Linked DNA regions of Ovis aries. The protein of the gene in region 4 interacts with the protein of the main gene of each other region in a pairwise test. Links are inferred from orthologs where the notes say so. Each region holds a gene or a part of one and is shown on either strand. Other genes may lie near its edges.

What was found.
Region 1: the proteins of TRIM32 (region 4) and UBE2U interact in binary tests that used the Homo sapiens proteins (3 or more experiments, as listed by UniProt). The link is inferred for Ovis aries from reciprocal best matches to the Homo sapiens genes TRIM32 and UBE2U.
Region 2: the proteins of TRIM32 (region 4) and RABAC1 interact in binary tests that used the Homo sapiens proteins (3 or more experiments, as listed by UniProt). The two-hybrid records come from large-scale screens. The link is inferred for Ovis aries from reciprocal best matches to the Homo sapiens genes TRIM32 and RABAC1.
Region 3: the proteins of TRIM32 (region 4) and UBQLN1 interact in binary tests that used the Homo sapiens proteins (3 or more experiments, as listed by UniProt). The two-hybrid records come from large-scale screens. The link is inferred for Ovis aries from reciprocal best matches to the Homo sapiens genes TRIM32 and UBQLN1.
Region 5: the proteins of TRIM32 (region 4) and CLIP4 interact in binary tests that used the Homo sapiens proteins (3 or more experiments, as listed by UniProt). The two-hybrid records come from large-scale screens. The link is inferred for Ovis aries from reciprocal best matches to the Homo sapiens genes TRIM32 and CLIP4.
Region 6: the proteins of TRIM32 (region 4) and SCGB1A1 interact in binary tests that used the Homo sapiens proteins (3 or more experiments, as listed by UniProt). The two-hybrid records come from large-scale screens. The link is inferred for Ovis aries from reciprocal best matches to the Homo sapiens genes TRIM32 and SCGB1A1.
Region 7: the proteins of TRIM32 (region 4) and UBE2V1 interact in binary tests that used the Homo sapiens proteins (3 or more experiments, as listed by UniProt). The link is inferred for Ovis aries from reciprocal best matches to the Homo sapiens genes TRIM32 and UBE2V1.

Annotation. Positions count from the first base shown.
Region 1 is NC_056054.1:39,651,016-39,655,043, reverse strand, and holds the start of UBE2U (ubiquitin-conjugating enzyme E2 U), read right to left. Parts: upstream 2,801-4,028; 5' UTR 2,363-2,800; coding exon 2,297-2,362; intron 987-2,296; coding exon 905-986; intron 544-904; exon of another isoform or gene 426-543; intron 1-425. UniProt on the Homo sapiens protein: Catalyzes the covalent attachment of ubiquitin to other proteins.
Region 2 is NC_056067.1:50,855,514-50,859,810, reverse strand, and holds RABAC1 (prenylated Rab acceptor protein 1), read right to left. Parts: upstream 2,801-4,297; coding exon 2,745-2,800; intron 2,466-2,744; coding exon 2,253-2,465; intron 1,928-2,252; coding exon 1,830-1,927; intron 421-1,829; coding exon 319-420; intron 237-318; coding exon 148-236; downstream 1-147. UniProt on the Homo sapiens protein: General Rab protein regulator required for vesicle formation from the Golgi complex. May control vesicle docking and fusion by mediating the action of Rab GTPases to the SNARE complexes.
Region 3 is NC_056055.1:36,082,837-36,086,336, reverse strand, and holds part of UBQLN1 (ubiquilin-1), read right to left. Parts: intron 2,668-3,500; coding exon 2,552-2,667; intron 1-2,551. UniProt on the Homo sapiens protein: Plays an important role in the regulation of different protein degradation mechanisms and pathways including ubiquitin-proteasome system (UPS), autophagy and endoplasmic reticulum-associated protein degradation (ERAD) pathway.
Region 4 is NC_056055.1:7,072,622-7,076,606, forward strand, and holds the start of TRIM32 (E3 ubiquitin-protein ligase TRIM32), read right to left. Parts: upstream 2,801-3,985; 5' UTR 2,752-2,800; exon of another isoform or gene 2,597-2,751; intron 2,558-2,596; exon of another isoform or gene 2,446-2,557; intron 2,435-2,445; exon of another isoform or gene 420-2,434; intron 1-419. UniProt on the Homo sapiens protein: E3 ubiquitin ligase that plays a role in various biological processes including neural stem cell differentiation, innate immunity, inflammatory resonse and autophagy.
Region 5 is NC_056056.1:35,951,485-35,955,633, reverse strand, and holds the start of CLIP4 (CAP-Gly domain-containing linker protein 4), read right to left. Parts: upstream 2,801-4,149; 5' UTR 2,767-2,800; intron 83-2,766; exon of another isoform or gene 1-82.
Region 6 is NC_056074.1:37,334,579-37,338,690, reverse strand, and holds the start of SCGB1A1 (uteroglobin precursor), read right to left. Parts: upstream 2,801-4,112; coding exon 2,746-2,800; intron 594-2,745; coding exon 406-593; intron 1-405. UniProt on the Homo sapiens protein: Binds phosphatidylcholine, phosphatidylinositol, polychlorinated biphenyls (PCB) and weakly progesterone, potent inhibitor of phospholipase A2.
Region 7 is NC_056066.1:78,133,583-78,136,339, forward strand, and holds part of UBE2V1 (ubiquitin-conjugating enzyme E2 variant 1), read right to left. Parts: intron 821-2,757; coding exon 695-820; intron 1-694. UniProt on the Homo sapiens protein: Has no ubiquitin ligase activity on its own. The UBE2V1-UBE2N heterodimer catalyzes the synthesis of non-canonical poly-ubiquitin chains that are linked through Lys-63.

The DNA.
Region 1 (4,028 bases), on a different chromosome or scaffold from region 4:
ATGTCTGACTCTGTGTGACCCCAGAGACGGCAGCCCACCAGGCTCCCCCGTCCCTGGGATCTCCAGGCAAGAACACTGGAGTGGGTTGCCATTTCCTTCTCCAATGGATGAAACTGAAAACTGAAAGTGAAGTCGTGCAGTCGTGTCCGACTCTTTGTGATCCCCTGGACTGCAGCCTACCAGGCTCCTCCGTCCATGGGATTTTCAAGCCAAGAGTACTGGAGTGGGGTGCCATTGCCTTCTCCGCCTTCTGATTCTAAACCTGGTGAATTCTCAGACATTCTTCAGGACCCAACTCAAGTGTCACTTCCTTGGGAAGCTGTTCCTGACTCTCCAAGGCAAAATTAACTAATCACTGCCTCCCAAGTATTCCATTCAAAATTCATAACAGGACATGTTATATTTTATTGTAATTATCCACTTACATGCTTTTCTCCCCTATCTCACTAAGCAAATATATCTTGTTAATCTGCAACTCTAAGAGGGCATGGTCATTAAAGTTTATGGTTGCCTAGTCTTCTTGAGAACTTGACTTATGGACATCTGTGGGAAAATCATAGAGAAAAAAAAAAAAGAGACATAATTGTGGGATTTTTCCATCAGGCATTTTGTTGGTTATTCTCTGAATTCATGGAAGACTATTAGATGATATTCTCAGTTGATATGTTTTCCTATGTCTGCTTCTTAAAAACATGATAACATTAAGACTGGGCATAAAGAAATATTCAAACCTAAAATATCCATCCATGTTGACAAATGGCAAAAAATTAAGCCATACAATGAAAAAATTAACATGTGAAAACTTTAGGAATTCTAGAAAATTTATACAGTGCAACCTTAAAGAAATTAGGCTAATAATATAAAGGCTTTTATAAAAAAGTAAATTGGTTTCCCAAACACAAACCATGCCAAATTGTATTCTGTAGACCTTCAATGTCAACATCCCATTGCATCATATCTTCACTTATAGGAAAGGCAGTAATACCCTAAACATCAAGAAAAATTAAAGCAGAAAAAAAGATTAAATATTTATTGCAGTTTGGGAAGTCAGATATTAGGTTACAATGAATTCCAAAAGCTCTAAATTTTCTTTTATTGATAAAAATGTTTGACTTGAGAAGGCGTTATATACTGTCTTATTACACAGAAGATAAGGTAGATTCCAGAAAATACATGCAATAGTAAATTTTAAGTAAATCATTAGTATGAAAATCACAAATGGGACAGGAAGGTCAAGAATGGAATATGTGACTTATGTAATTCTATAGACAATTTAAGATTCAAATTCAAAAAGAAAGGAATAGTTGGAAAGCATGTATTTCCTCATAGCTTTAAAAAAAACCCTACAGATGCTATACTAGGCATGAAGTAAATTTTCATTAAGAAAAACACAACTCTAAAATTATGCTCATATGTAAAAATAAAATTTTCCTACACTTGAGGCATTATTCCAATGGAGGGAAAAGAAAGTATTACTGTGCAAAACAATGAAGACCTAGCACAAACCAAAAATAATAATAAATAAAAATTTTAAAATGAAATTATAAGGGAAAGACACTTATGTGTTATATGTCACAGCAATTGGCAAAAAGTGCACTAGACAGGAAGAAAAAGAACTCAAGACTTAAGAGCAAGGGATTTTGGAGTCAAAAAACCCTGTGATGGAATCCCGAGCCCAAATATTTACTGAAAGCTTTCTGAGGCTTAGGTTTGTGGTAGGTAAAACAAAACACTACCTACTTTACAATATTGTATTGATAATTGAGGGGATTCCCAGGTGGTATCGAGTAAAGAATCCACTTGCCAACGCAGCAGACCTCGGTTTCATCCCTGGGTGGGAAAGACCCCCTGGAGAAGGAAATGGCAACCCTTTCCAGTATTCTTGCCTGGAAAAATCTCATGGACAGAGAAGCCTGGTGGGCTGCAGTGCATGGGGTTGCAAAGAGTCGGACACAACTTAGCCACTGAACATGCAGGCACAATTGATAATTAGTGAATGCAACCCTGCATTCACTAACTAAATAACTAATGGTTATTTACTACCTGATAGACTGTTACATTCAGGGATTAAAGTCCATAAATTACTCAGCACAGTGTGCTCAATACTGTTAACTACTATTATGAAATACTAATAATTATTATGAAACAGATTATTATACTGAAATAGGTTCATTAAACAAGTCTGTAGTGCAAATTAGATTTAACTCAATTATGCTTTGTGGAATAAACACAGATTAAACTGCTTTTAAAAACTCGTACCCCAATGAAACACAACCTCCACGTCTCCAATACTCACCTCATAATTGTTGTTCTTCAACTCTTGGAATTCTCTTTTTAGCAAGATGTAAGCTCTGCTGTACATGATAAGGCAAAAAATCCTCTGATCCTGTCCCCTCACTACTACGGTTCGCTCTGAGGCAAGTGTCTGAGGTTATGGGTCACTCTCCTATACCTAGTTAACTGACATAAATACTTGCTTTCTCCAGCTTCAGAATGCTGTATATATACTCCCAAGAGAGGTGGACCTAAGTTGGGCACGTAGCAGCGACTTTCTTTTCTCCTCTGACTCTTCTAAAGGAGGACTTCAGAAGGAAGACTTGAGCACTTTCTCCACTGCCGTGTGTCCTTGCCGCGCCAGCCCACAGCCCAGCCTGAAGATAAATGTGGATGAAACCCTGAGACCACTCGTGCTGCTTATGCGTGAAGTGGGCGTAAGAAGCGTAAGTTCAGGGTGTTCTTAACCAGTCACCGTCTCCGCTTCACAGGTGTAATTAACTGGGTGCCGGTTGGGCAAGAAGACGCAAATCGGTTGCCAAGCAACAAGACTAAACGGCACTGTAGAGGAGGTGGGCACTTGGCCACTCCTCATCCAATCAGCGTTGTGGGGTGGCCTCTGGAAACCTTCACAGCCAATTGTCCAAAAGGCTCAGTTTGAAAGGCCAATGAGAACCGTTGTTAAGGCCTCCTCTGTCCCAGCGCCCCGTGAGACTACTAAATCCATCCATTTTGTTGGGGTAGGGGGAAAAGTCAGAGGGTCTAGCGTTTAAGTCTAAGTCAGAGAAGACTTCACTAGAAGTCCTCCGAAATCATCTTTTCTTTTTCTTTGAATATTATGCTGGTCTGCTCTTGTTTATAATAACATATGGCACTTGTGGCTCAGCTGGTAAAGAATTCGCCTGCAGTTAGGGAGACCTGGGTTTGATCCCTGGGTTGGGAAGATACCCTGGAGAAGGGAGAGACTACCTACTCCAGTATTCTGGCCTGGAGAATTCAATAGACTGTATAGTCCATGGGGTCACAAAGAGTTGGACACGACTCTGCGACTTTCATATGGCACTTCAGCGGTCATGATATCTTCGCATATATTATTATGTCATCAAATTCTTCAGTTACTCTGGAAGAATGTTATGCAACATGAACTACTTAAAAATTCTCATCTCTTGCTGAGTTGTGCCACTTTCTGTTCCTTCTGTCTAGATATTTACCACGTTCAGATTTACCTTTGCCTACGATTCTTTATGAAATCATACAAGACAACTCCTTTCTTGTGATCCTAGAGGACCCTATATTTACCTCCCTGTTAGCATTTATTGGGCTTCCTCCGTGGCTCAACGATTTAAAAAAAAAATCCACTTGCAATGCAGGGGCTGCAGGAGACATGGGTTTGATTGTTGGGTTCAGATCCCCTGCAGGAGGGCACGGAAATCCACTGGAGTATTCTTGCCTGGAAAATCCCGTGGACAGAGGAGCCTGTTGGGCTACAGTCCATAGCGTCACAGAGTTGGACAAGACTGGAGAGAATTTAGCAGACAGGCATAGCATTTATCAGGCTGTATCACAATTGCCCATTGCTTTCTTTAGCCAGCTGTGAGCCTCTTAAAGGTGCTAATTTGCCCATGTCAACTACAGAAGCTGGCATCTTTTCTCAGAGTACTTTTTCTTACTGTTTACTGATTTTGTGGAAAACAGGACATCAGTTTAATTAGTTCATTCATTTCACAGATATTTATTTCACACTTCTCATGTGC
Region 2 (4,297 bases), on a different chromosome or scaffold from region 4:
TGCTCAACAACTGTAACAGTTTTATTTCCAAAGCTGGAGTCCCTCCCTGGTCTTGACGTGGGAAGGGGGCCTTTGGCCAGAGCCGAGTGGGACCGGGGTGAACAGAGGCGGCTAGCTCAAGAGGCTGGGGGCTCTCGCGAAGCCACCTCACACGGGTTCCATCTGCAGCTCCTCCCCGTCCACAGCCTCCATCTGGTGGAAGGCGGCATGGGAGCCGATGACTACGAGAGTGGCTCCTGCAGGAAAATGGGCAGTTCAGGGCCTGGTGGCCTCACCAGGCCCCCACTGCCCACACTGCTGCCCAGACCCTGTACTCACCCAGGACCCAGAAGACGGCGGAGCCCGCGCCAGCCAGCCAGAAGAAGGGAAAGGAGACGCCCCCGGCCAGAGCATACTGATGGGCGGGGCTCACCTCCCGGCCTGCAGGGCAGAGGGCATTGGGGCAGCTGTTCTGACTCGTGCCTCCTCCCAGAGTAACCCCTGATGCTCCCCCAAACCTCGCAAGCTCTGGGAGTCTCAGGGTCTAATCTAAATTTGTGCTAAGGCCCTCCAGCCCTTGGCCCTACCCACTGACCGTGGGAACAGAGTGCCTTCCTCAGCCCCCTGCCCTCTGCCCTTCAACCCCACTTCTGCTAGGAAGCTCCCAGCCTCCTTCTCCTGACTAGTTCTCCTGCTCCAACCTGCACTAGTGCAGATCTGGAACCTCCGACTGGCAGCCCAAGAGCCAAATCTGACCTGGGGATGTGTCTTTTGAGTCTGCACATTATTCCATCAGAATTTGGTTTGTGGCTGCCAGAAAAACTGGGTAATTTCACATAACAATAGGCCGGCCCTCTGCATCCACAGATGGAAACCCGTGGATCGCTGTACTACATCATTTTTCATAAGGGACTTGAGCATTGGTGGACGTTGCCAGCCATGGGGCTCCTGGAACAACCCCCTATGGACACCAAGGGGCAGCTGTACAGATGTCTGGCTTCTCGTGGTGGATTGGAAGGTTGGATCTGCAGGTACTGGTGGCAGCTGTGGCTGAAGCCAAGTCGTGTCTATACTCCAAGCGCTCCCTCCATGCCCTGGGCTAGCCCGGCGCGCCCCTCCACCCAGCCTACCTACGTGACCGGCAGGCTTCTGAAGCATTCTGTCTTAGGTCTACCTGTTCATCTGAGCCCAATTCCCCCTTAGCCCCACTCCAAAGTCCTTGAGCATCCCCTAGTTGGGAACTCAGAGCCCTCTGTTTTATTTTTAAATCTTCTGCCAGCACCACACATAATGTGTGACTTAGTTCCCTGATGGGGGATGGAACCCATGCCCCCTGCGTTGGAAGCATGGTCTTAACCACTGAACCACCAGGGAAGTCCTCAGGCTTGTCTTTCTTCTCAGTGGTGTTTCCGGTGTCAATCTGGGACCACCTGAGCCACAGGGCTCAGCCTCCCTCTCAGAAATCCCAAGATTTCCACTTCCTCCCCAGGAAGCAGGAAAGGGGGAGCACGGATATAGGCCAGTGGGAAGTCGCCACCTGGTGGCCGATGGGGGTACGTGCAGCTGACGTTAGCAGGAGGTTAGGCAGAAGGGAGAGTGAAGGAGGTTTAAGGAGTCAGACGGAGGTGGGTTCTGGAGTATCTTCTAGACTTGGGGGATAGCAACTTGGGGGCGCTGAGAGTGGGTGGGAGCATCAGGTGTGTCTGAGACTTTAAGGGACCGAGTTTGGGGGAATCTAGTGTAGATAGAGGCTTGGGCAGACATGGATTCGAAAGGACTTGGGTTTGGTGTCAAAAGGTTTGCGTTCCAAGAGACCAGGATGTGAACAGTCTGGGCAAGGGATTTCTCACCGAACAGCACAAACTTGGACTGCAACGTGCGCAGATAGAGGATGTAACAGGCGCCAAAGAAGACAGCCAGGGCCACCAGCAGCATGGGAGACGTCGCCCTGGAAGGGGGCAGGGAGCCGTGTGTCAGGGAGCCGGGGCTAGGCCCGACAAGGAGGCCCTGACCTTCCCATCGGCGGATGGCAGGCGATCCGCTTGGGGCCGGGGAAGTCTAGGTCACATTTGGTCACACTGTATCCTGGCCAGGTTGATGGGGGAACTAGGGACCTGGCCCTTCGGTGAAAACTTCCGGCAGAACATCCCATGGGAATGGGGCCCGGGCAGTGAGAGGTGGGGCCGGATGCTGAGGGCGCGGTCGGCCAGAGCGGGCCACGCAGCCTGGAGGGGGTGGGGACCGGGGCGCCGACGGGCCGAAGAGGCACTCACACACAGTACAGGATGAGGCCCAGAAACACGAACACATAGTTGCTCTGGTAGTACTCCACGTTGCGTACGAGGCGCTGGCACAGCTCGCCCAGGTTGCGGGGCCGCGAGAAGCGCCGCTGGTCCACGAAGGAGCCCCAGGACCGGATGGTCGCACGGCGCCGCTCCAGCCACTCGCGGCCCGCGCCAGATGGAATCAGTTTCGGCAGCAGGGTCCTGATGGGTGAGGGGTCACGTCAGCGATCGACCGACCGGGATGGAGTCCGGACCCTCCAGCAAGAAGAGGACCGAGGGGGGCCGGACTCCGGGGTTCTGGGGTGGATAATGGTCCCAGGCTCCTGGATCTCAGGGGAGAAAGGGGCTGAGGGTCCAGGCTCCAGAGTCCTCGAAGAGGACAACAGAGGCCCAAACTCTTATGTCTAGAGGCCGGGATTCCTAGGACCCCCCAGGGGGGAGGGGTCGGGGGACCAGGACTCCCGGGTCTCGGTTGCTCACGCGGCGCTCAGTCCTTCCGCCTCGGCATCCTTCTGCTGGTCCTTCTCGGCCGCCATGTCTGTGTTGTCTGGGGAAGAACTAAGGAGCCCAGGGCTCTGCAGACCCCGCGGGCCCCGCCCGAGAACGGCCTCACCCAGCAGAGCTGGAGCGGACGTGTAGTCGTTCTGGAGCCGCTGGGGAACGGTAGTTCTGCTGCCGAGCATTGTGGGAGTTGTAGTCCTGATGGTGCCGGGGAGACTGGGCACCATGATGGTGGCATGACTCGCGAAGCACTTTGGGAGTTGTAGTCGTGTAAAAAGAACCAAGCGCCCCTCTGGGCATTGTGGGAGTTGTAGTTTCCGAATTAGGATTTGTGGAGTCCGGGAAGGTGGGTTATCAGGAGTCAGGGCGTTAGGCAAGCTCTAAAGGCAAGAAGACGCTGTGTACTCCCCCGTGCAGGCTACAACCGGGACCGTGTAGAGCTGTCATTCTGTCTCTAGGAGGTATAAAAAAACACTTAATAAAACACTCAGATGTTCTGATTCAGCAGATCTAGGGTGAGACCCTTCATCCGTGTTTATAACAAGTTTCTAGGTGATGTTGATGCTTCTGGTGATGCTCCATGGCCCACATTTTGAATAGCGAGACTGTAAAGAATTAGTGGGAGTCTATTCCTTCCTTCTTTAACAGGCTAGTGATGGGACCATAGTTGCTGGAGGGGTGTCTAAGGTGGGGAGCAAAGCTCCACCCCCACCTTTGGGCTCCCAAGGATGAATGGGTTAGGATTAGGGACCTAGGCATGCCCCTGCCTTGGTTAGGGTGAAGGGAAGTGGGAGGAAAGGTTGAGATTTTATTTTTTCATATATCATTTTTTTGTCCAGTTTTATTGAAGGGGTGAGAATTTTTTAAAGATGTAGATGTCATAACGAAAAGAGCTGGGATTCTGGGGTCAGAGGTCAAACTTCAAGCTGTGTTGAGCTCATCACCTCCCTGAACCTCAGTGTCTTCATCTGGACAGTGAAGATCCTGGGAGTACCACACTCATGGGATTGAGATTGGGTTGAATGATCCATGTAAAGTGCTTGAAAGAGTCTTGATATTTCATAATTGTTTGATAAACAATAGTCCATGCTATTGCCACTACATTATCATGGCTGTTATAATTATTTCTAGAGTTCAGCCTTCTAAAAAATTTTTAAAATGTTATTTGTTTATTTTTGGCTATATCAAGTCTTAGTTACAACACATGGTGCTTAGTTACTTTGTGGCATGTGGGATCTTGGTTCCCAGACCAGGGATTGAACCCAGGTCCCCTGCATTGCAAGGTGGATTTTTAAACACTATATCACCAGGGAAGTCCCAGCCTTCTCACTGGCCCCTTGGATGTCCCAAAGAGTGGCTGGTGTCTGAGACATGGGCCTTTCTTTCCCCTGCTTCCAAGAATCTTAGCTCTATCAATCTTTGCCCCTGCTGCAGGGTGAGTTGTAGAAAACCAGCTGGAGTTCTAAGGGGGTGCACCAGAATGGCCTCAAGAAATGTGTAGAAGTTTCGGGAAGCCTGGGCTCCCTTACACA
Region 3 (3,500 bases), about 29 Mb from region 4:
ATCAGGTAATATCATAGAGCTGAATACAAGGCATGGAGTTCAGAATTGATGTGGGTTTAGGTAAAGATTCGAGAGTCAACAATTTACAGTTAGGATATTGTCACTGGGGAAAACAGAATAAAAGAACAGAAAAAGAGAAGGCAGATGGCGGAACAATACTAATTAAAGGAATAGGAAGAAGAGACCCACAAATGAGAGAGGAAAAAACTGGTCAGAAAATTAACCAGGGAAAAAGCATATCAAGAATTAAAGAAAAAAATTTTCAAGGAAAGACTGATAAGCATTAGAAGACAGCAATTTAGATTTTAAAACACTTTCAATCTAAGTATCTAAAAATCTAAAAAGGTGTCCATTAAATTTGGCAAGCTAAGAGGTCAATGGTGACTTTATCAAGGGAACTGATGGGGGCAAGAAATAGAGCACAGCAAACTTAAGTGAAAGAGAAATACAGACAGAAAACAGAATACATCTTTTCCAAAAATAGCTGAGAAAGAAAAAGAAAGGTGGTAGTGGGATTCTGTTGCTTTTAAACATGCTGCAGATGCTGCTGCTACTGCTACTGCTGCTAAGTCGCTTCAATTATGTCCGATTCTGTGCGACCCCATAGACGGCAGGCCACCAGGCTCTCCCGTCTCTGGGATTCTCCAGGCAAGAACACTGGAGTGGGTTGCCATTTCCTTCTCCAATGCATGAAAGTGAAAAGTGAAAGTGAAGTCGCTCAGTCGTGTCTGACTCTTAGCGACCCCATGGACTGCAGCCTACCAGGCTCCTCCATCCATGGGATTTTCCAGGCAAGAGTACTGGAGTGGGCTGCCACTGCCTTCTTCATTTAAACATGGGACAGACCTTAAGGAAAACACACAGCAAAAAAAAAAGCCAAATAGACAGGGTAAACTGAGTAACTGATGCAGAAAAGTAACTAAGATAGGAGGGGATGGGAATGAAATAAGCAGCAAAGGGACAAATTAACTAAAGGCTTCTGCGGGTTTTAATTTCTTTGCCTATAAAATGAGAGAAGAGGGACTTCCCTAGTGGTCCAGTGGTTAAAACTCCATGTTTCCAATGCAGGGGCCCCAGGTTCACTCCCTGGTCAGGGAACTAGATCCCACATGTCCCAACTACCAGTTAACATGCCACATCTAAGACCCAGCACAGCCAAATAAATAATATTTAAAAAAAAAAAAAAATTGAGGGAAGAGACTTACCTCAATAATACACTAAATAATTTCATCCTAATCTTTCTAGATTGTTCCTATTAATCAATTTTCCATCTAAAACTCAAATTTAGCCCAAGATGTGTTTAAATCAAACATTTAAAAAAGAGAGAGAGAGAATGTGAATCAATGCCATGCCCTAAATGTTGTTTCCAACATAACTGGTATCAATAAATTATTAAAAAACTTTTCTGGAAGTGAAAGAAAATATGAGCCTCGATACATGAAAACTGTATAAGGATTCATTACACAACTTATGATGTCATTATTCACATTTTGCTCTGTCAAGTTTTTATTCCAACCTCGTGTATATTACAGACTCACATTTATTATCGTAAAATTTTTTAACGACGCATCATGAAATTCTGAGTGAAGAATTAATAGCTGAATTTTACACAGATACTTTCTCTGAATGTCCAAGTGATATACATGCTACCGTCTCAGATGATGACAGTTCTTTAGAATACAGTTCTGATTCAGAAGATGTGAATATTAGACCAACAAAAAGAAAACTTTAGTGACTGGTTCTGATACAGAAAGTGAAAATAAAACTCACGGTGCTAGAAAAGGCTTCACAGGTGTGTCAGGTGTAACTACTCAATGCAATAAACTGCAAAGTATTAGTAAAATAACAGAACTAAGTTTTGGCTACCCAAAATAAAAATTGCTGGTCACAGGTGTTAGTTTCTGCCAAAAGTCCCTCAGTCAATAATGAGATAAAATGTCATTTCAAGGTATTATACTTGTCATACAACTTAGGAACTAAAAGCAGCACTAAGCCATTTATCTATCTAGTTCAACTTCTGTTAGCTTCAGATCACTCCATTCCCCAACTAAACCTTCCTAAGAACCTCAGTGTAAAAACTAATGTAAGAAAAGTAGTTTTGGCTGATGCAGAAGATCCTTAACCACCAGGCTTGCATCAGGCCTTTCTGTGTGAGTTTAGAACAGTTAGAAAATCACTAATGCAATCTGATCCTTTCATTTTACAAAGGAGAAAACTATTCAAGGGGTTAGCTTATGATCAACAACTAGCTAATCTTTTCCAGAGTCAATTATGTGGTGGTCAAATCAGGTACACATACAGTATATCTCTTTCATTATTAAAAAGAAATGTGCCACTTACTGATCACTTATTATATATTAATGTAACCTAAGCATGCACATCTGCATCTTCAAATATCCCCTTAATAACTACAATTATAGAAATAACCTAGACAAGTTTTTGTCATTGCTAAAGTGACTTAATGTTTAACTGTCATCTTACTTAAAACTATCCTGGGAAAAAGGAAATTTGCTTATTTTTATCCTTATGCAAAATGACTAAAAATACTTACCTAAACCAAAAGGGTTGCTAGTGGCAGAACCAGATGTGGAGTTACTACTAGGAGCTGATGATGTGGTGGCACTGGTTCCACTGGCATTTGTTTGTTGAGCTGAATGATCCTGAGGCCTATGAAAAATAATTTACACCATAATATAAACATTTGAGCAAATTATTTTCAAAAGGAGCTCTGAAATTCCAATAGGTACAAATAAAGATTTTAAACCAACTCAAATTATCATAAAGTACATATGCTGAGATAATTAAGCACAAGGAACATGAAATATAAACAAATATAGTAAAATCCCATGAAATCCAAACTATACTTCAATTGCCCCTCAAGTACTGCGGCTGCTGCTGCTAAGTCACTTCAGTCGTGTCCAACTCTGTGTGACCCCATAGACGGCAGCCCACCAGGCTCCTCGTCCCTGGGATTCTCCAGGCAGGAACACTGGAGTGGGTTGCCATTTCCTTCTCCAATGCATGAAAGTGAAAAGTAAAACTGAGGTCACTCAGTTGTATCCGACTCTTAGCGACCCCATGGACTGCAGCCCACCAGGCTCCTCCGTCCATGGGATTTGCCAGGCAAGAGTGCTGGAGAGGGCTGCCATTGCCTTCTCCACCTCAAGTACACTTGTAAATATTTCATAAAAAATTCATCAACATAAAAAACGTCATAAACATTTCAATCATATTGATTGATTAAGAGAGGGAGATAGATCACCTCACAGAAAAGAATGACTGATCACAATCACAGAGCCTGATTATATAAGCAATTTTTTTAAATTTATTTATTTATTTATTTTTTAAATTTTAAAATCTTTAATTCTTACCTGCGTTCCCAAACATGACCCCCTCTCCCACCTCCCTCCCCACAACTTCTCTCTGGGTCATCCCCATGCACCAGCCCCAAACATGCTGCACCGTACGTCAGACATGGACTGGCGATTCAATTCTTACAT
Region 4 (3,985 bases):
CAGAACAGGAGTTACTTTCCAAAGTAGGGGTGCCATCAGCCTCGGCGGCCCCTGCTATGAAGTGATTTTTCTAGCCAATGGCCTCTGTACCTCATCCTCTAGTTTCTTGCACCTCATCCTGTCTGCCAACGATAAGCTCCTCCCCTTATGTACCCATGGGTCCTGGTCTAAGAGCAAATCAAGAACAAAGTCCAGGGCTACTCCCTACCTAGTCAGATGGACTTACTCCCTTTAGAGTTCAATTTGATAGTGATACAGACTGGGCAGTCCTTTCATGAAAGAGTGAGCAGGTCCCAGCAAAGAAAAAGCAAGGAAAGAGAGAATATACCAGGTTACAGAGATCTGAATATGAGCCTACTTTTGCCCTCTCTAGCTATGGAACCTTAGACAAGTCACTGCCTTAGCCTTAGTTTACTTACATGTAAAACTGAATACTGTAGCTTGCTTAGTAGGGCCGTTATGAAAATTGAGTAAAGAAAGCAGATATGAAAGTTAAAAACTACTAAATCAGTGTGCACTTACTATGCACCAGACACTAAGCATTCTAATTTACTTCATTATAGATTACCATCACAGTAATCTATGACATAGGTCCTGTTACTAAACCTGTTTTACAGATGAAGAGCCAAGAGTTTAAGTAACTCACTCAAGATCACACAATCAGGAAGAGATTGAGCCAAGATCTGAATCCAGGATATGTGACTCTAGAGCAGAGTGCCTCAGCTTTGGCACTGTTGACATTTTGGGCCAGATACTGCTTTTGTTGTGGAGGCTGTTCAGTGCACTGTAATATGTTTAATAGTATTCCTGGTGTCTACCTATTAGGGGCCAGTAGTACTCCACACCCCAAAAGTGACAACCAAGAATGTGTCCAGACATTGTCGAATGCCCCCTGGGGGACAAAACCACTGCCAGTTAGGAACCATTTCTTTAGAACTTGGCACAGGACTAAATACTCAATGCATCTGCTATCCCTTGTTCTTGTCTCCCAGTTCAAACACCTCATTCACAGAGCCACTGTTATGCACCTTCTGTAGAATTCATTCTATCTACTTATATAACTGCTAAGGAAGATAAGACCTGACCTCACGTTCCACTCATACCCTGGAGCTCTCACACACTCTCTGTCACCACAGCTTGGAGGGACACACCAAGAGGAGCTTGGGCAGATGACCTTGAGTAGTCTCCTGCTTTGTGACTGGCCATTCTCTTTTTCTCTGAAGCCAACCATTTTCAGTGGGTCCACGTTCAGAGTGGAATGAGTAGTCACACCAAGGCTGCTTCATGATGAGGTGAAGTGAAAGTCACTCAGTCATGTCCAACTCTTTGCGACCCCATCGACTATACAGTCCATGAAATTCTCCAGGACACAGTGCTGGAGTAGGCAGCCTTTCCCTTCTCCAGGGGATCTTCCAAACCCAGGGATGGAACCCAGACCTCCCACACTGCAGGTAGATTCTTTACCGGCTGAGCCACATGATGAGGGATGTCTGGTTAACAGGTGAGGGAGATTCTGCCCCTTGCAGGGAAACTCAGGTTCCATCAGGAGTCCTGATGGCAAAGAGTGACGACTTTCTTGCTGAATCCCTGAACTCTGCAAAACTTCGCACACTCATATAGTTCCATAGATTGCTTCTAGGTCTTTGGGTCCCCAGAACTCCCTTTGCTTCCTATGCAGAGACTTCAGGAAAATTCCTTTCGCAATCCAAGACACCCATCTGTAACTCTATTCAGTCTCTTAATTCTACAGACCAACCAGTACCTCTCCACCCCACCGTTCCACCCTTGCTAAATCTTGTTCTCAAGTCTCCTAAGAATCCCAGCCTTGGGGGCTCTTCATTGCAACCCCCACCAACTCCTCCCTCATGCGTACCAGAATCCCCCAGACAAAGATCCTTTCATCTCTTTCCAAGTCGCTGCAGCCTTCAGCCCTGTATCGCAGTTAAACGCCCCATCCCACACCTCAGATCTGTGCTCTCCCTCAGTCTGAGCCCCCACCCTCTGGGTGCCATCAGGGACCCTGCCCCCCTTCACACCCCCACCCCCAAACCTTGCTCCTTCCTCTTTTCCCCACCCATGTCATGTGTCGCTTCAAACCTCAGGCAAGTGTCTTCTTCCTGCTTAAGAGATCTTGCTTCTCACTGATCCCGTCAAGAATTCAGCCCGTCGATCTTCCTCAGATTCCACTCGGGGAAAAAACGCTTCCTCCTCGGCAATTAGACTAGCCCCGGGCTCTGCTCCCTCTGATCTCAGATCTCACCCCGCTCAAAGCCTACTGCCCCCAGACTCTCTCAAATCACCTGAGATTCTGCACCCCGAATCTCATCGAGGCTCCCCAGTCCCTTCATACTGCCGAGATTCTGCACCCCTGATCCCTCCAGAGCCCTTGGGTCCCCTCCCATCTCTCAGATGCTGCACCCGTCTCCCCTCAGGGCCCCACATTACCTCATACCTCCCGAGATGCTGCACCGCGAATCTCGGAGCCCCTCGCTCCCCTCCTGGGCTGCATCTCCTCCGAGGCCCTCAGCCCCCTCGAGTTCGCCCCGAACCTGCATCTAGCAACCCACCCCCGGCGCCCCTCCCCACATACACCCACCACGGTCCTGCCCCTCAGATCCGGTCCCCCAGGCTCTGCCATTCTGGCGTGGACCGACCGCTGCACGCCGTCACAGCCCACCGTCGCGCCGCTCGGCCACCGCCCGCGACTCCGGCCGCGGTCCCGCATCCCCCACCCTCCATCCCGCCCCCTACCTGACCGCCCGCGGCTCCGACGCGTCCGCCGCTGCCAGCCCACCGGCCCACCGCCCTCTGCGCACGCGCCAACGTTAGCCCTTTTTGCGGGCGCCAATTCGTAGAGCTGCCTGTCCGTCACTGCGCCCCGCCCACCCCAAGGCATGCTGGGGGTTGTAGGCGGGCGGACCCGAGCTCGCGGCCCAACGACCAGGTAGCGGTGAGCTAATCAGCCGCAAGGAGCTAGGTGTCTTGAGGACACGCATTTCAGCTTTCTGTCCCCGTTGTACGGTTGAAGAAACCGAGGCCCAAGTTCACTCAGAAAGTCGGGAGCTAAACCGGAACTCGTGTGTCTGAGTGCAGTCTGTGTCAACCCCTTCGCTAAACCGAAGCTGCCAGGAGTGGTCCTCAACCAAGCCTTGGCATCTCTCAGAAAGACCTCTCTCCACCTCAGCTTTGCCATCTGAGAAATGGGCCAAGGAAAGACTACAACGTTCACACATTCACTCTGGGGCAAGCACAGAACCTGGCTGCGCTTAGAACCATAGTGCTTCTGGGCTCTTCTCCCAGTGACACAGTGCAGCCTAGAGATAAGCTTATCTGATGAGCAAATTGCCTTTATGAAGGATTCCTACTCCTGCTCAGCTGGGAGGCCGACAGGGGAAGTAGAGGTAGGAACACTCTCTGCAATCTATCCCTGCAGATTGAAGCTTCCCAGGAGCCTAAACCCAAGTCTAGTTTTTGGGCAGCCAGAAAAGGGAAGAGTCTTCACAGGTGAGAAACAGTCTAGCCTGTTGGCTGGTGAGGACCTGTAGCCCCTGGATAGTTTGGGGTCAGCTATAATCCCCGGCAGCTCAGCGGTAAAAACTCCCCCTGCCATGCAGGAGAGACAGGTTCAATCCCTGGATTTGGAGGATCCCCTGGAGAATCCCCTGGAGAGGAAACGGCAACCCACTCCAGTATTCTAGCCTGGGAAATCTCAGGGACAGAGGAGCCTGGTAGGCTACAGTCCATGGGGTTGCAAGAGTCAGACACGACTTAGCAAGTAACCACTACTACTACCACCACAGGTTCCTGTGGGTGACTATACAGTATGGCTTAGGAATAGGAAGAGGTTGGAAGGAGGATGGGCTTGGATTTGACATCCAGGGTAGGTAAAGTGACTCTTCACAATGAGAAAGCAACAACCACAAACAATAACCTAAGTGTTGTGCTGCCGTCAAACCCTTCACATGCACAGTTCACTTAATCTTCC
Region 5 (4,149 bases), on a different chromosome or scaffold from region 4:
CATGACCATCCCCCAGTCCCTGGTCAGCTGCCAGTCTCGCTGTGCCTGCAGGTCCAGCAGCTCATCACACTCAGAAAGAAGTAACACAGATGCTCCCTCCTCCCTTTGAGGTTTCCTGCTCCTTCTCTCTGCTCTCACCACACCCAGTTCTTGTCTGACCCCACCCACCTGTTTAACTGGTTGAAAGAAGGAAGGCAATCTGCGCTTGGCTGACTTTAACGAACTGTAAATAAATAAGACTTTATTTTTTTTGGGGGGGGGGGCCTCTAAAATCACTGCAGACGGTGACTAGAGCCGTGAAATTAAGACACTTGCTCCTTGGAAGAAAAGCTATGACCAACCTAGACAGCATATTAAAAAGCAGAGACATTACTTTGCCAACAAAGGTCCGTCTAGTCAAGACTATGGTTTTTCCAGTAGTTATGTATGGATATGAGAGCTGGACTATAAAGAAAGCTAAGCGCCGAAGAATGGATGCTTTTGAACTGTGGTGTTGGAGAAGACTCTTGAGAGTCCCTGGACTGCAAGGAAATCCAACCAGTCCATTCTAAAGGACATCGGTCCTGAATATTCATTGGAAGGATTGATGTTGAAGCTGAAACTCCAATACTTTGGCCACCTGAGGGAAAGAACTGACTCATTTGAAAAGACCCTGATGCTGGGAAAGATTGAAGGCAGGAGGAGAAGGGGAAGACAGAGGATAAGATGGTTGGATGGCATCACCGACTCAATGGACATGAGTTTGAGTAAACTCCAGGAGTTGGTGATGGACAGGGCTGCAGTCCATGGGGTCTCAAAGAGTCAGACATGACTGAGTGACTGAACAGAACTGAACTGAAATAAGCCCTATTGTCAGTGAGCCACAGAAACTCATAAAGTTCTCTATGTAACAAAAGTTGCTATACTTTCCACCTATACAGTTCACTTTTATTGCTGATTTAAATTATCCCTCTGAGAACACTCCGAGTGGGTGACAGGGTGTGGCTGGCTGCGTTGTTCCTCACTATAATGAAAGTCTGTGTTAGAACCAGCCAGGCAACTGGGTTTTTCTGCCTTACCCAAATACTGTCTAGTACATTGGCAAATTCCAAGGATACGAAGCCATTAGAGAAAGAATCTCCCACTCACCTGCTTGCCTTTACTCAAGAAACCGAGGTTACTCCCTAGCCCATGATCACAGATGCAAACACTCATTGGAGTCCTGCTTCTTGAAACACCCCATGGGCTATACAGTTCTCAAACCAAGAGTCGGGCTGGGCACTGATATGGAGCCAGAATTTGGAACATGAATCAAAGGGGTGGGAAAGCACATGGGGAAATGGTCCAGCCACAGCTGCTGAGGTTCAATTATATCTGAAGGCACAACAAGGTTCTTGGACAATATGGCAATAATCCGCAGTCCCAGAAGTTGACCAGAATCAGTAGTCAGCATCAGTGTGGAGACAGGGGCATTATTGACTCATTATGCTCAATATGAGCACAGTTTGATTCCTATCTTTCAGATCTTACTTGTTTTCACTTTACCAATGAAGACTCAGATTCCAGGAGGCTGTGGAGCTCATTCACTGTATCCTTGGACAGAAATAGGATTCAAACCCAAGTCTGTGTAACATGAAGGCCTGTGTTGATTCACTGCATTGTATTATCTACACAGGTGTCCTTTGGGGGCATTCAGGACACAGGAATGCTGCATGAGTAGCAGGGATCTTTGAGAAATTCGGGTGGACAAACAGAACATTAGCATCCAGGTCTGTTCAGTGCTTAACAGGACTGCAGTCCGTGAGAAAAGAGTGGGGGAAAAAAATCAAAAGAACACAGTGTTACTTCCTGTACGTGGGCTCAGGGCTGGATATGATTCACAGGGGAGGAAGACAGGGGCTCATTTCCAGAATGCAAGTGAACAAGAGACATCTAACTATTAGAATTGGGGTGCCAGATTGGAGCCCAACTTGCAGAGGTAGTTCTCAGGTGGCACTAGTGGTAAGAACCCACCTGCCAATGCAGGAGACGTAAGAGACATGGGTTTGATCCCTGGGTCAGGAAGATCCCCTGAAGAAGGGAATGACAACCCACTCCAGTATTCTTGCCTGGAGAATTCCATGGACAGAGGAGCCTAGTGGGCTGCCATCCATGGGACTGCGGAAGAGTCAGACACAACTGAGCAACTAACACACACACACGAACACACACACACACACACACACACACATTTAACACAGAGGTAGTTAAATGTAGAATATCAGAACACTGTGCAAATCCTAAAATCCCTAGCATGTTCACAGAGAGGGTCATCAGCATATAAAAGCAACAGAATCAACTATTAGAAGTTATAGGCCAAGGTAACAAGGTTGCCAAATACAAGATCAGTTTCTAAAAATCAGATGTTTCCTCTACTTCAGCAGTAAACACCCAGGAAATATAATAGACAATAAGAGACCATTCACAATATCAATAAAATCCTAAAGCATAATATTAAGAATTAACCTAGCAACTTACAAGATCTTTATGGAGAAAATGTTTAAGTTCTATTTAAGGACATAAAAGAAGATTGAATAAATGAAGATATACTATGGATAGGATGACTTTACAGTGTAAAAAAAAATGTCCATTTAATCTTTAAATTCAATGTTATACCAACCAATATTCCAACAGGAACTCAAATTTTAAGAAACTTCAATAAAGTTCAATAAAGAAAACTTCCATAAAGAAAAACCAAATGTTAAATAAATCAATTTTGAAAAACAAGAGCAAAGAGAGAAAACCTACCCTGGCAGATCCTATGTCATTACTACATAGTGATAAAAATAGTATGCTACTTGTACAGGAACAAATAGAACAGCCACACAAAATAGAGCACTCAGCAGACCCTGGGACCTCAATATATGCAAATATGGAACTGCAAATTAATGAGAAAAGTTGCAAATTATTTAGAAGATGGTTTGGGGAAAATGAGAAGAAAAAATAGAGTTGAATGCCCCATGTCTACCATATTCAGAGTGAACTCCAGATTAATTGAAGATCTACATTTGAAAAATAGGTCGGAAGTAGGAGAAATGTGGAAGAAAATCTTTATGTATGTCGGGTAGGGATTTACTTCATAAAACAAGATTGCAAAAGCACAAACCTTCAAACAAAAGACTAGGAGATTTGACTGTATACCCATGGTTTCTCTACAGTGAAGAATACCATGGAAAAAGTTAACAGCTGACAAATTGGAAGAAAATAGATATTCAAAAGCAGCAAGGGACTCATATCTAAAATAGGTAAGTAACTTGCAAATCAATAAAAAGACATCAGAGAACCCAACATAAAAGTAAAAAACGGGTAGGAATAGGCGAATTCACAGAAGGAGAAGTTAGAACGGCAAGCACTCATAGAAGAGACGCTCAGACTCACTAGTAATGAGAGAATGGAAAGATAGATGGTGTGATATTGCTGATAGCCACTGGTTTGCTGGTATATATAGGAGTTGAAGGAGAGTCCTAATTTGCAGTGTTTACTAATTTCCAAGGTACAAATACTCTCATCCCTGATGATTTCAAGCTTCCAGTGTGAAGCCACTGAAAAGTAATTGGGAAGAAATGTGCTCCATCAGTTCTCATGGGTCAGCTCCAACATGTCACTACTTTACCCATTAGCCTGGCAAAATTCAGAAAGATACTCTCCAGTGCTCACAAAGATATGGGGAAATGGGAATCTTCAAGCACTGTTGATGAGAATTTAAACTGCATTCTGTAGAACAATCTGGTAATATTTAGTGAAAAATTATCAGCATTCTTTATGACTCAGCAACCACCTTTGTAGATATGCCTCAGAGAAACCCTTACAAGGGTCCTGTAGGAATCTTGTTCATGTGGTTTCCATGAAGCCAATTTCTCATTTTCTAGGTTATCTTATCCAATCTATGGCTCTAAATACCATCTCTGTTTTCATGATACCAAAACGTCTGCCTCCAGCCCTGAATTTCAGACATGTATTCAACTGCCTACTCAGCTTCTAATCTAGAATATGCTTTAGAGTAATAGACATCTGTTCACTAATAGGCATCTCAAATATAACATGTTCAAAATAGAACCCTTCCCCATAACCTTCCCATATCAGTAAATAGCAACTCTCCTCTGCTGTGGGCTCATAAAATCATCCTTCCTT
Region 6 (4,112 bases), on a different chromosome or scaffold from region 4:
GAATAGGCTACCCACTCCAGTATTCTTGGGGCTTCCCTGGTGGCTCAGATGGTAAAGAATCTGCCTTCAATGCGGGAGACCTGGGTTCGATCCCTGGGTTGGGAAGATCCCCTGGAGGAGGGCATGGCAACCCACTCCAGTATTCTTGCCTGGAGAATCCCCATGGACAGAGGAGGCTGGTGGGTTACAGCCCATGGGGTCACAAAGAGGTGGACGTGACTGAGCGACTAGCACAGCACCAGTATGCTTGCTTGGAAAATTGTGTGGGCAGAGGAGCCTGGCGGGCTACAGTCCATGGAGTTGCAGGGCTGGACACGACTGATGGACTGAGCATGCACGCATGCCCCGAAGTGGGTGACACTGCAGCCCAGGACGCGGGCAGCGGGTGTGGAGGGAGCCGTGTACCATGAGCTGTAACACGCTGTCCTTGGCCTTCGGGGAGAGGGTGTCTATCAGTTCCTTCAGCTGTCTTGTTGCTTCTTTCATGTCTTCGTCAGGGCTGAAAGGTTCCAGGGCAGCCTCGTAGCTGGAAGGCGTGCCTATGAGGAGGTTTCCCAAGGCATACAGAAGGCTGGGGCACACCTCTGTGGATGCTGGAGAACAGAGAGGAGGGATCCCCTGTATCTGGGCCCGTGTCTAGACTGGCCAGCTCCCTGCTGGGACCTGGCCCAGATGCACACAGCTGAGCCTGTCCACAAGAGCTAGGGGCCCTCTCACCCCCACCCTGGAGGGTGATGCTCCAAGCAATTGGCTCTTTGGCGCCAAGTGGATGCTTTCTGGGTTGTGGCCAGCTTTTTGTAGCTTGCCTGAGCCTTCCTTGTGCTTCCTGGGTTGCAACGGACAAGGTGCTACCAGCTCTTTCCAGGCGGAGCTCTGAGAATAGAAGCTGCTGATCTGACTTTTTTTTTTTTTTTTTTTTTGGTGTGGTGTGTGGGGGCTGGGGAGAGGCCGCAAAGGGTTTAGGCTCCCACCGGAAACATACCTCTTACTGATGGTTAGTGATGGTCGGAGTCCACGTGACAAAGTTAGGCTCTGGCAGGAAGAGGCACTCGTACCCGCCAAGCACGAGCCCCCGAGCCTGGCTCAGAAGGGACATCTGCCGTGGGCGCCAGGCCTGTGGGCTCCTCCACCCGCAGACACGCCTCTGCCCCATCCCCAGCCCCCCTCCCGTGTTCCCTTCATCTGAGGGCGCCCCCTCGTGCTCTCTTTTTAGGTCCCTGCCCCCAGGATCATGGGGCTTCCCAGGTGGCTTAGTGGTGAAGAATCTGCCTGCAATGCAGGAAATTGCAGGTTTGATCCTTGGGTCTGGAAGATCCCCTGGAGAAGGAAATGGCAATCCACTCTAGTATTCTTGCTTGGGAAATCCCCTGGACAGAGGAGCCCAGGGGCTACAGTCTATGGGGTTGCAAAGAGTCAGATAGGACTTAGCGTCTAAACAACAACACTCCCGGGATCATGGGGAGAATCACCATGCCCCACTCCCTGTTTGCCCTGTCTTCCCATTGAGTCTTAAATCCCTGTCCTTGACTTCACCACCTTGTGTGCAAACTCCCTTTCCTGAACTCCGGGGTTCCACCCAAATGGGTCACTCCAAGTCAGACCCTCTCCAGAACTTAGATCCCTGCTTTGCAACTTACTATGTCATCAGGCAAGTTACTTTATCTTTCTGTAGCTCAGTTTTTTCATCTGAAAAATGGGGGATAATGTCCCCACTTCATAGAGTTGTTGTAAGAATGAAAAGAGATAATATGTGAATGGGATTCAGCACAGGGATTATTATATGTGCACACACACAGACATACAAACACATCCCAGACCCACCACCTACGTATTTCACCCTGTCTTGCTGGGTTGTACCTGGCACTATCTTCTAATTAACATACATTTCAGTCCAAATGATGTTACTTCCCCTTTAAAACAGGCATCTCTGCACCATGGTTGCTCCTGCCGCCTCTTGCTCTCTGTTTTCTAACTCCCCCGCCACTCCCCAAGGTCATAAAACTTCTCTCTATTTTTCTTAGGGAACTTTGAAAGTGAGGGAGTTGGAATTTGTTTACATTTTTTGGTTGTTATTGTAGAAGGAATAGAAGAGACTGGTAGGGAGTAAAAAGCAGCTAAGTAACCCAGTTCCCAAAAGATCAGGGGCTTCGAGGAAGATGGGATTCACATCCCCTGCCCCGTCACTCTCCTCTTCATAACAGCTGCAACTCTTCAGAGACTCCTAATCCTTTTTGCAGAGGACAAAAAAATGTTTAGAAATCTCCATTCTGAGTTGGCAGTTTCCCAAAGGGAAGAACCCTATCTAGAATATTCCTCTCTGCCCAGAATGGGAGACCTTGCCTGAAGAAGCCATAAGGCTCCTTCCAGCCCCTTTGGCTGCCAGGGTGATGTGCTGACCCCAAACCTGGAGGTCTCTCGGCGTCTCGGGGTCTGTCCAGGCCTGGGCTTTGGGGAGCTTGTTAGTTACTCCTGTTCTGCTGGTCACTGCGTCTAGGTGGGATCTTCTCCATCTCTGCACTTCTGAGGTTGTTGGATATGGAAGATGGGGTCCTTTACAAGTTTCATCACAGCCTCAGGGCTCTGCGTAAATTCCTAAGATGGGCTTGTTTGCCAGACCCGGCTTCCTGGCTGGAAGTCAGTATTCCCAGGCTCTCCCAGCAGCCGCGCAGAGGACGTGGACAGCTGCCCCCTTTCCTGGGCAGCGCTGGGAGAGTTGCTGAGGCTGGCTTGGGATGGGATACTTACCAGGTCTGCAGAAGAGAGTCAGGGTGACCAGGGCGAAGGCAATGGTGAGCTTCATGGTGGCAGGAGGCTGGTGGGGGAGGCTCTGGCCCTGTCTCTGGATCTGGTGGTCTCATGGGTGATGTGCCCACTGGGATACCTTCTTATACTCTCCTGCAGTGAGGAGGGCAGGGCATGGGATCCACTTACGGGATCACATTGTTTACTTGGGCATCCACTCGGTGGAAAAAGTAAACATTCTCATTTCTCAACCCAGTTTCTGTCCCCAGTGAAACAGAGCTCACACAATGGGCCACTTGGGCGAGGGGAACCCAGAGTCCAATGTGGAGGCAGTGAGAGTGCCTGAGTCAGAGGGTTTGGAGAGCTGGCCGCCTTTGCTACTCCCTTCGGACCTGAGCGCTGGGCAGTGCAGATGGACAGACAGCATAGTCCACCTGATCCTATCACCCCAGGAGAAACTGAGGCCCAAGGCCCCGTACCAGTGGCAGTGATAGGACTAAGACTTGGGTTTCCTGATACTCCAGCGGGCTCTGCTCCAAGGAAGTGGCTGGACTTCAAGCCTCCAGAGTCACGCGGTCCAGAGCGTCTTGTGGTCAGACTTGGGCGAGACCCTGGACCGAAGCATGTTGACAGATTAAGTTCTCCAGAAACCTAATGCTCAGGTCGGGTTGGAGGATGCACTGTGCCAGCCAGGTCTGGAGTCCTGCCTACCTGATGACAAACCCATGGGCACTGCAGGCCTCATAGCACTTGACCTCTTCATGGCCTTAACCTCTCACCATTTCCCTCTTGAATTGTTCTCTCTCCTATGTTCCCACGACTCTCTGCTTTCCTGTTTTCCTCCCTGGCCATCCTTATTCTTTGGATGTTGATTCTTTACTGACCGAGCTTCCGTGTTGATGGCTCCAGGCTGTGACCCTGGCCCCTTCTGACACCATGTCAGTGGCGGCCTCCTTTCTTCTCCAAAGCCTGTGCCTTAGAACACAGACCTCCCCGACTCAGAGTCACCTCCTAAATGGCCTTCTGCCTCCTAGCTCTTCCTCCTCGGCCATCCTGGGAAAGGCCACTAGAATGATTTTTCTTAAGCCTGCTTATCATATTCTTCTCCTTCTTGAAACCCTTTTAAAGCTGCCTTGGGCGGATGCGATAAAATTCAAGTGCAACTTATGAGGCCCTTGTCCACCGGCCCTTGCTTACCATTTGAATCTCATTCCTCTGCTCTTCTGCGTGGAATCTTTTTTTTTTTTTTCTTCAGAAATCAATTTGATAACAGAATTGTGGACTTTGCAGTTGACTTATCAAACTACTAAAAAATTTAATTTTACATAATTTATAAAATCTCCACATCACTATCCTAAACTTCATTTAGT
Region 7 (2,757 bases), on a different chromosome or scaffold from region 4:
CCGCTCAGGGCAGTAGGGAGAGTGAGGCAACAGCAGACCAGAGCCTGTCCGAGCCACCCCCCTCAAGTCAGTGCAGTGCCCCCCTGGAGAAACGCCTCCAAGCAGGAACTTCTCCTGGGTTTAGGACATCAGGTGGGCCTCAGAGGCTCGAGCGCCTTTGGCGCGCGGCACGGGGCCGTCGGCTGCCCCTGCTCTGCTTTTACAGCGTTTACTGTGGTGTCACCACCAGCACCTGCTTACGGCAGATGAGACTGGTCTCCATTCACGGCAGTGAAAACAGTGGCAAAAATAAGAAAGCAAGGCCATTACAAGGAGAAAGTATTATATGTCCATGGTGCAGAAATAAGGCCCGTGGGGAGAAGCGTGGCGTTGGGGCGGTCTTTTCCCTCTCTGCCTCCATTTCCTTGCCTCTACCTCTTGGGGGTGTAGCAGGAAGGCTGAAGGAGCGCTCCTCTCAAAGTGACCGGCACAGGCTGAGTGATAACAGCCCAGAGCCAACGCCATACAAGTTGTGCTGAAACACAACTGGGAAACAGGCCCTCCCTCCAAAACAGCACGTGTGTGTCCTGCGGTACATGTCATCATCCAGTAACCAAGGAACAAATGCAATCAGGCCCCAAGTGCCCCTGACATTCGAGCACAAAGAATCTGGGGGACCCCCAGGGGACAAGGAGGGGCAGCAGAAACAACTTACCACTCCATTAGAACTATTAACTCCATTCATATTAATTTTTGTTACAAATCTTACAAAGGGGGGTGCTTCTGGGTATTTAGGTCCACATTCTATTTTAAGGCTGTATATTCGGTTTTCATAAATTGTCTGGAAAAAAAATAGAAGGCATAGCCATGTCAGGCAATTACAAAGAATTAAAAAACTGCACAACTTCTGAAACCCCATTTATTCCCCATGCAGAGCTGGTGTGTCTGCTGCCACCATTCAGAGTCTACTCGCTGTTTGCTAAGTTAGTCGTAATCAGTCCCTGCACCAGCGCCTATGCATCCTGGCTTTGGGGGAATATAAAGAAGCCAGGAAATTTAAGCCAGTGTCACTGAAGTCTTAGGGTGGCATCATTAGGCCCAATCAGATGGACTTGGCTTTTCTGTTCATTTGTCTACACTCTGGAAAATGACGTGTAAGAGGCATCCTTCATTCTGGGAAGTCACACTGATGTCTACTCATGCTGGGATCATCAGCCAAGGCACTAGATACCATCATGTACAGAGTAAAGAACAAGCAACTCTAGAGGACTTTGAACTCAAGCACAAGATCAGGGTGGGCACAGACACAGGGTTGCCTTCCACTCCTCACCACCGGGGCCGCGCTCTGGGAAGGGATCTCAGCCACAGGCACTCCGTCCCTGCTGCCTTTAGGACCACCCGGCATCGAGGAGGTGTGTGGGGGGAGGGGGCCGAGGACGCCAGACCTGCCCAGGAGAAACGGTCCTTCTCCGAGCGCCAACCGAGCCTCCACTAAGAAACACCGAGTCCCGCCTCATGCCCGGGGATGGCTCCCTTGTCACTTCTGCCCGGTGAGCAGTGGAGTGCGCCGCCTTCTCCAGGCGGTTCCTTCTGCCTAAAGTGCTGAACCCCCACTCGGACCACCTCATAGCCTTCGAGACCCAGTTCAAGCAGCATGTTAATCAGAAGGCTGTGCACGGTTTTCTCACGTGAAGCTGCGTTATCATCATCTGCGTATCTGAAGACCACACCAAACCGCGGCTGACACCTCCCGGTCAGACTGGCCCCCTTTGCAGGGAGACCGGCCTCCTCCGGGGCCCTCACCCGCGCCCTGTGCCCTCTGCACCCCGTGCTGCACAAGAAACGGCCGTGTGAACAGTGACATCTAGCGGCCTTTGGGGGGAGCACATTAAGAAGGATGATTAAAAGGCTTGAAAACATTCCGTCTAAAATAGTGGCCTGTCCCTAGCTTAAAAACTGGAACATATATTTTAAGATCCAGAATGCATAATAGTCCCATACCACATCCACTTCACAGGGACCCCAAGCTGTAACAAAAGCTCAACTCAGGATTTCCCCCCACCTGCCTTCTTCCCTGGTAAGCAGGAGCACCATCCGGCAGTTAGAGCAAACTGGCAGCCAGCCATGACTCCCTTTTCCCTCACTCCTCATCCCAGGCATCAGAAGGGATGCACACTCACCCAACCTTCCTCTACTGTGCGCCTCCTCCAGATGACCCCAGGCCTCTGCCTTCTCTCGCGCCCCTAGCACCTGCTCCCCAGACAGCCCTGGAAACTGTGCCTGTGGCCTCACCCCTCCAGTGGCTTCCTGGAGACCCGAGAAAGGGGGGCCCGGTTCCTGGACTGGACCCCATGCGGCCCTGCCCTCCTCTCCGTTGCTTCTCCTTCCTCATCCCGCCCCTCCGGCCTCCTCGTCACACTCTTCAGACACACTGAGTCCTCTCCTTGGGGTGCTCATACCAGCTGCTGCTCTGAGCCTCGCAGCTCAGCTCCCATGCATCTTCCCCTCAGAGTTCTCGGGACCCCTCATTTGAAGACTGACGCCCAGTCACCCGCCAGACACCCCTCACTAATCTCGGAACAAGGCGGGCAGGGGCCTCAACCGAACTGGTACTCATCTGTTTATTGAATGAATGAACATTGCAACTTTTCTGTAAATCTGGAAGTAGTATACAATGAATGTTTGCTTATTTATCTATTTATATTGCAATACAGTTGACAGTATTAGTTCCTGGTATACAACAGTGACTCAGTATTTTTGCAGATGATACTCCATTTA